Mus musculus: one gene and its partner. The protein of the gene in region 2 interacts with the protein of the main gene of each other region in a biochemical or structural test. Links are inferred from orthologs where the notes say so. Each region holds a gene or a part of one and is shown on either strand. Other genes may lie near its edges. The genes, in order: S100a6 and Cacybp.

Region 1 (3,774 bases), on a different chromosome or scaffold from region 2:
CGGGACCCCAGCCCTGCCCTGTTTGCGAGCACCTCGTGAGTCACATGTGCGTGGAGCTGCCAGCTCCTTAGCTCAACAAAAAGGACCCCATACCTGACACTAGGGACCGTCTCCTACAGTCTCCTCCACCTCCAACTGGAACACAGGCAGCTACGGAAAACTCAGTCATCCTGTGTCCCTCCCTGCTCACCTCAGATGTGCCTCTCCCCACGCCTCCCTCATATAACACACAAACACACAGTGAAAAGGTGGATTGCCCAACGTCAGGGCCCACCTAGTACTCCCTGTTTCACCACACCCAGACCAAAGTGTGTCTGCCAGGAGACTGCTGGGACTACTGCAGACCTGCCTCTAAAGGCCACTTTCTCCTGAAGGTCACTTGATTGAGCCTTTGTTTAGAGTGGCTTTGCCTAGAGGGGCCTCCTCTTCTAATACCCATAAAGATTCCTGGTCAGCTGGCAGACCTGGCCTGGTGGGCCAATGAGCTACTACTCCCAGAGTTTAACTGTGACTAAGACCACTGGATGGTGGGTCCAGCAGCAAGGCAGGAAGCAACTGGAAATCAGTGGGAAGCCAGAACACATGAGTAGGCATAACAAAAACGAAATATTTATTGTATAACTACCCACCACTGGATTTGACCGAGAGAGGCCCCCGGAAGTCATCTCAACGGTCCCATTTTATTTCAGAGCTTCATTGTAGATCAAAGCCAAGGCCCCCAGGAAGGCGACATACTCCTGGAAGTTTACTTCCTGATCCTTGTTACGGTCCAGATCATCCATCAGCCTTGCAATTTCAGCATCCTGCAGCTTCTAATACATTAAGAAGGAGAAGTCCACACTCAGTGGTGGCCAACACCCTAGATTCCTTACCCCTTCCCTGGAAGTCCTCTCTCAAACAAGTGCTCGTTGGGACCAAAGATGGGCCTTCAGCTTGGGTTTACCTTGATTTACTCTCCTCAGCCCCTGCTCCTCCCTCAGGGGACAGGGCAGCATGGAGGCATACGAGCATCCCTCCACAGGAAGTAAGATCAGGAACTGTGATTAAATGCCACTCAGATGAGAGGCAGGAGGGGGAACCGGGACAGGGGCTACTCACGGAGCCAATGGTGAGCTCCTTCTGGATCAACTCCTTCAGCTCCTTCTTGCTCAGGGTGTGCTTGTCACCTTCCTTGCCAGAGTACTTGTGGAAGATGGCCACGAGAAGGCCAATGGCCTGATCCAGAGGGCATGCCATGACTGATCACTGGGCTAGAAGAAGCTGTTTGACAGAGGGGCTAGTCAGTGCTGCTGATAGCAGAGAGTTCTCTCACCACCCCCCTGCCTGAGGCAGTCAGTCTCAAGCCAACACAGGTGGCAGCCGGGGCAACTTAGGTGAGGGATATAAGAATGGAAGGGGCTTTGGGATCTGTGAGCACTGTCCTCCAGGGCTTCCAAGAGAACTAGGGCATATGACTGAGCAAGGAAGAGAATGGAGAGTGCCCCTGGGCACCTCCTGACATAGCCACACACTGGGACGATGACACACCCAGGGCAAACCCTCCTGCACCCCAGAAGAGCAGACTCAGGTTGCCGCCCCATAGGGATGCATTAGCCTCTGGGTTTGCCTGATACAACCCACCTAATCATGGCTCTCCCTGCCTCCCTGGGCTCCGAAAACTTGGATCCCAATGCATTCCACCCACTGAGCCTGCAGAGGCTGACGGGGGAAGGAAGTGGCTTAACCCCTTGCCCAGGAGCAGAAAGACCCTAGAGGGACCCCCCAGCGAGAGCTCACCGCACGGTCGACAGCGAAGCGCCAAAGGAGTGGTCGAGGGGATGGAATGTGTCGCAGTCTGGCCGGCCTTATAGTGGCCAGCATCCGTGAGGTCCGCCCAGGGAGTGCTGGCACGCCCCGACCCCACCCAGCGCCTGAGGCAAGGCAAACGAACATCCCAGCCCCCTCAACTTTCCACGCCCCTGTTGCCTGGACTGTCCAGGATTAGGAGCGGAATGAGGGAGTTTAGCGGGCCCTAACGGGCCCAAAGGAGACCAGTGCAAGCCAGAGGCATCAAGTTTTCTCTAATTCCGTGTTTAGTTTTCCCTTCTGGCACGTGACTCGAAACTCTGGCTTGTGTGCTGAACCTTCTGCCAGCCCGAGAGCAGTGTCCTTAAAGTTAGCATCAGTGTGAGGGGGACTGGGAACCACACTGATGCTGTTGCCCTCTAGTGGCAAGGTCCCCAAGTGAGGGAGGGGAAGCAGTCTGTCTACCACATCCTCTAAGAAATGGTTCTCACTCAACCTGACTAATGCTGCGGCCCTTTAATACTGTTCTTCAAGTTGTGGTGGTCCCCCAATCATAAAGTTATTCTCGTTTCTACTTCATAGCTATAATTTTGCTACTGTTATGAATCTTAATGTGTATATCTGTGTTTTCAGATGGTCTTAGGCAATTCCTGTGAAAGGGGTCTCAACCCACAGGTTGAGAACCACTGGTCTAAATCTTGATATATAGCTAAAGACGTTGATCCCAAAAGGTAGAATTTTGAGCCTTGTATCAAAGGGGGCATGGGGAAAGAACACAGTCTAAAAGATTTTAAACAGCATCCCCCACCAACCATAAATTTCTAGCAACATCACTCGCCTCCTCCCACTCACTGCCTGGATTTTCATCCTTAGAGCAGCTTATGCATGAATGTGCACATAGTAGAGCCAAGCCCAGCGAGCATTCTCAGTTACTCATCTCAAGTGAAAAGTTTTGAACATTTTCTCCTGGGGTGGGGGGGGGTAATGGGGAGGAGTCTTGAGAAGAGGAAGTTGGTAGGGTGTGGGGAGGGATTAGCATCCTGAAGTCACTCTTCAGTGAGTAATGGGAGGGGTGTTCCTGGAAGGGAGAGGAGAAGGGCTCCTGGGGTGGTCTCCTGCGGGCTATCCCCAAGTCAGACCTGCGGGACCATCACTGCTGGGCCACAGCCCATCCCTCTGGCCTCCTAGCTCTCACGGCCTTTTCTCTTGTTTTCTCTGCATCTTTGCTGTCTGGGCAGCTTTGTTATTTTACAGGAGTGCAGAACAAAGTCAGGACACCTCCAACAATGTCCATGATGAAGGACTGCCAGTGAAGAGGGATGAGAGCCCAGCTCCTGCTATCCACAGACCACCTGTGTGTGGCCCAAGGCTTAGTGGTCCAAAATGTCTGTTCTCCCCTGCCTCAGCCAAGACACAAACCACCTTAAAACCAGTGCGTGTAATGGATAAGGCTTTATTTCTCTGCTGGAAGGATCCATCTGGGAGAAAGAGAAGGGCAGGGGCCATAGGAGGGGCAGTTAAAGAGGCTGCAGAGGTCAGGATCAGGAGCTGCCAGTGTCCTGGTCATTTGTTGTCCTCTAGGAAGAAGTCATTGTAGGCCATGCACAGCGTGGTCAGGAACACAGAGTACTCCTTGAAGTCAATCTCCTGGTCGCTGTTTTTGTCCAGGCTCTTCATCAAGTTATCAATGCTGCTCTCCTTCATCTTCTACAAGGGCCCAAGAGGAGGAGACTACTCAGCAGCCCAGCCCCAGCCCACACCTTTACCACAGGACCATATTCCAAATGAATTACAGTAGGAAGGCTTAGTCTAGCCTTTGCTCCTGGGACATCTTCCCATCCAAAGAAATAATAATCTGTAATTCATACCAATTCCTACTGAAAACAGCTTGAGGTCTGGCTATGTGGCCCTGAGCATCATCCTGAGCTAAGTCCTAGACTTATCCTGCTTGCACTGTAAGGCCAAGCTGGTAAAGGATCCAGACATCAC
Region 2 (4,432 bases):
ATATGCTAATGTGGACAAGGAAAGCCTAGGGTGTCACTACTCTACACAAGAACAGGCTCCAAAGAGAGGCTGAGGGCAGGAGAAAGTCTTCCCCAGAAGAGCCCAGTACCAAACGGTCAGCCCTGAGCTTACCTACTAGTAACATCACACAGACTATGTATGCAACAATGAAAAAAAAATGAGACAGAGAAACTATGAAATTGAAAGAGTGCAAATGGCAGGGATTGGAGGGAGGAAGAGGGAAATGATTTATTATATTTATATTTATTATAATTTCAAGAAATAAAAAATAATTTTAAAATATTTTAAATGCTAGATATTAGATAGTAAAAAAAAAAAAATAGCTCAAATAGCTCATTACTCTGTGGCCATTATATTATGATTTCCTAACAGTTTATAAAAAGCACAACAGTGAAACTCCGGTCTACAATCCCAAGGAAACTTGACTCTAAGATCCAAAACTGCAAAACTGTCACTCATCTTTTGAATTTAGAATCAAGATATTTCATTCAAAGTTTTTCAGTGGTTTCAAAATTCATATGGATTATCAAGTACCACTGTTGGTGAAAGTGGGTTGGTGGGACTTTACCACAGATTCTAAATATCAGCATAATAAAAAAAAATATTAAAAGCAAAGCAAGTACTTATTCCTAGGACAGAGCTTTACTTAACAAACGGAGAAAGGAAAAGGTTTTGCTTTAAACTGGAATGGGAATCTTTTTTTTGAGCTGACTCATGGCAGAATTCCCAGGCCCTCCCAGTTTTCGCTCTAATGGACTCTTTAGTAAGATACCAACTGATGCGACCTACAGGAGAACCATTGCTTGATTTTTGTATTCACAGCCCAGAAACCACTGACAGTGTAGGTTCTGACTGGGATTAGATAGAACAGTTTCCTGTCCACTTTTTCTTGCCTTCTTGGCATGCATTTGTTTTCTATACATAAACATTTATCTCCCTTTGAATCTGTTTCCCAGTTGTTAAATAGGGGCTCGGTCTGGCCTGGTGGCACATGCCTTTAGTTCTGCCACTCTGGAGGCAAGTGTATCTCAAAGACCAAGTGAGGGGTACTCAGTGAGACCTACTCCCACCCAACTGCTCAAAATGGAAGAACCCAACTCTCCTCCACAAAGACATGGAATTGGACACCAGGTACACACACAAATAGATGCACACAGCTATGAAGATGCATAGCCAATGCATGAGGTGGTACTACACCCTCATGTGGATGTTAGCATATGAACAAAAACCACCCAATAAAATAACAAATGTTAGTGAATGTGTGGAGAAATGGCACCTTTTGTGCAATTCTTGTGGAAACGGTAGCTTCCTAAGACTTTCCCTATTATTTGGCAATTACACGGACTAAAAACATGCCCACAAAACAAAACTTGTTTACAAGAAATCACAATCGGCAAGATGGAGAAACAGAAGAGTAGGAATTCCATCTGTACAATGGGACAGTATTCAACCACCCAAAGGAATGCCATACTGATACCACGACTGAACTAGAAAATCCTAAGGCTCCAGCCTAAGTAGATGGAGCACCTACAATGGATTTCTATTTAAGGAAACGAAAATAGTCTGCAACTAGGTAACACTGATGGTTGTACGACAGAAAAAGTTGAATTTCACATCTTAATATGATTGAATAAGGTGAATTTTAATCTCAGAAGAAAAACATGCCCCTATATGCATAGCTCCAAGTCTAAAGTCCCTTCTCTTTTGGAGACAATTAATGCTGCACAACTGTTAAGCCACCCTCTCCACTCTCCCAGTGAGCACGTGGTGCCTGCCTATCTTGTCGCAAGATACCCAGATGAATACTTTAACTTCCTAATTTTTATGTGTTTAAAGCCCATGATTTCTAAGTGAGGGAGAAGTTTCCGAAAAGCAAATCTTAACAGCCAATGTTTCTGTGAAAACAATATGTCAATCACATAAAACCTGTATTGGCCAAAACCCGGCAATTCAATTACTCTTGCTATGGAGACCTCGAGGATCCAAAAAGTCAAGTCATTCACATTCATTTTTTACAAATCTAAAAACACACGCCAGGCAATTTCCTAGTCGTACCTACTGCTCAATTCCCAGTAACTTTTTAAAAATTGCTTTTATACATAAAGACTGGGGGTATACCGGAACGGTAGAGAGCTTGCCTAGCGTGTGTAAGGCCTGCAGGTCCGCCACTGGCACTGCTAAATAAAAACTGAAACCATAAGCACTGTCCAGGGCGTTTAGAAATAATACAGAGAATGTATGTATAACCACCTATAAAATGAAAGCGGTGACCATGACTAGTCATGCGGGCATGGGAATTCCTTCCCATGGCCCCCGGCCCGGAGCTCAGAGCTTTGCAGGAAGGTTTCTGATCCCTGGCCAGGAACCGGGAGCCGAGAAGACCTCAGGCAATGGAGAGAGGGGACCGCCACCCGCGAGCCTACCACGAACCGCGCCAAAAATTGGGATCCAGACACACCCCCGACCTTCCAGCCGCGGCCGGGACACTCAGGCCCAGGCAGGCGGCGGCGTAGAGGCCGCGGGCCCGCGACGGGGGCAGAGCCGAGGACATCAGCCCCGGGAAAGCAGCCGCCGCCCGGCGGCGCGAGCCGGTGGGTCCAGGCCGACCCCTACCTCTTCCAAAACGGAAGCCATGCCGTCGCGCGTCAGACCCGAGGCCGGAGCTGCAGCGGTGCACCGAAGCAGACAGGAAAAGCCGAACACGCCACCCACGAGCGTCGCAGCGCCGGCAGCGAGCTCCACAGACCCGGCGCGACACGGCGGCCCGCCCTCCGCACGAGACGGCTCTGGAACCTTCGCAAGGCTCCACCGGAGCCTCCCAAGGCCCCGCCCCTCCGAGTCTAGTCCCGCCCCCAGGCTGGTTGCCTAGCAACGCTCAATTCTCGCGAGCGATCGAATGCTCAGGAGGCGTCCAGCCACTTCCTTCCGCCCCAGCGATTGAGACGTCGTTCCGCGCCGGCAGAACCGGGCTGCGCAGTCGCAGCTCGCAACCGCGGCCAGACCTAGCCCCGGAACTAACCTTCAAAGGTTTGGGGACCCGATAGGAAGTGTCTCGAGAAGGGCTGCTTCCGCTGGTGCGATGCGGAGTTGCCAGGCCGCCATCTTGTCTTCGGCAGCTCTGAGGTATCGGGAAAGAACAAAGGAGCGCCCCCAAAGAAGCACAACTACCATCAAAAAAGGACGGATTTGTTAAGGGAGGAAGGCTCCTAAGTAGAACAATGGCTTTAAGTGGGCCTTGGGTTTCTGGAGGCGTCCTGCGTCTAGCACCGTTGACGTGGCGCCATCTCGTGGGACTGTAGGAAGGTTGCACGGGCTTCCTGACTGGCTCTGGGCGCCGTGGTGGAAAGCGGCACGGTTTCAAGTGGCCGAACGCTCCATTCTCCCTTGCCTATATGAGCTCTTGATACGAAGTTTTCCACTGCCTTCGCTCTTTACTAGCGGTTTATTTTGTATTTTCAGCAGGGTTTGGATTGAGTGAATTTCCACGTAAAATGTGGAGGAATTCTTAGGACTTTGGGTTGCAGCAGCCCGGATTAGTAAACCCCCAGCGTAAAACCGTTTTTCAAATTATCTTAATTATGACAGCATAGAGACGTCCATAACACCCAGTAAACCGAGACAGAAAACAAACAGTACCCATTGGGAGGTAGAGCAATCTGCTGTCAGCTTACAGATGCTTAGGGGAGTTACTAGCATCAGCAAGTCAAGGAAAATGCTGCTACACTACACTTTATATTAATGTAACATTAAGGCATGCAACCTGTACGAACTTCTCACACAAACTTGCACAAAATGACAAGTTAGACAGGGATGTATGTCGTGTATAGTTGCAACTTAAATAAAAGTCTCAAACCACCAGTCCCATGGCCTATAGTGATAAAAATAAAAACAATCCTTTTCTGGAGTGGACAATGACAGAAAGGTGCCACCCTTTGAAGTTTATGAAAAGGTGAAATAAAAAGGAGGAGGACATGGCTACTTCTAAAGTATGGAGAAGATTTTTTTTATTATTTTTAATTTTTTTTTGTAGCTATAAGGAAGACAGGCAGAGGGAAGGGTCCAGGTCGAACATGACTGTTAGACTAAATACAACATAAGAGCAAGAGGGGCCTTGAACCTGTAAGAGTCCATGAATGGTCTAAGAATCATACCCTAGGCTCAAACAGTATGTAAACGCACAGAGTGTTTTATTCTGCAGAAGTCCAGCGGTGCTGGAGTCTCCCATTACCAGAAATAAAGAGTCAACCAAGTGAGCTTGAAGGCCTGATTTAATGCATGTTAGGAGATTCCATTTATTCCCTAGGGGATGACCTCTAACCCCATTTCTATCGACATTCCATTACTCGGGCATGGAGACTAAAAACTGTTGCTGAAGAAGTCTGGAAACTGGTGCCGACCCATTGTCCTTGCC

The links.
Region 1: the proteins of Cacybp (region 2) and S100a6 are reported together in a solved structure, tested with the Homo sapiens proteins (2 studies listed by BioGRID and IntAct, with this or other methods). The link is inferred for Mus musculus from reciprocal best matches to the Homo sapiens genes CACYBP and S100A6.

The regions. Positions count from the first base shown.
Region 1 is NC_000069.6:90,611,229-90,615,002, reverse strand, and holds S100a6 (protein S100-A6), read right to left. Parts: upstream 2,110-3,774; 5' UTR 1,777-2,109; intron 1,261-1,776; 5' UTR 1,237-1,260; coding exon 1,099-1,236; intron 813-1,098; coding exon 681-812; 3' UTR 589-680; downstream 1-588. Other genes in the region: S100a5 (protein S100-A5), read right to left, coding at 3,349-3,492. UniProt on the Homo sapiens protein: May function as calcium sensor and modulator, contributing to cellular calcium signaling.
Region 2 is NC_000067.6:160,210,013-160,214,444, forward strand, and holds the start of Cacybp (calcyclin-binding protein), read right to left. Parts: upstream 2,881-4,432; 5' UTR 2,656-2,880; coding exon 2,635-2,655; intron 1-2,634. UniProt on the Homo sapiens protein: May be involved in calcium-dependent ubiquitination and subsequent proteasomal degradation of target proteins. Probably serves as a molecular bridge in ubiquitin E3 complexes. Participates in the ubiquitin-mediated degradation of beta-catenin (CTNNB1).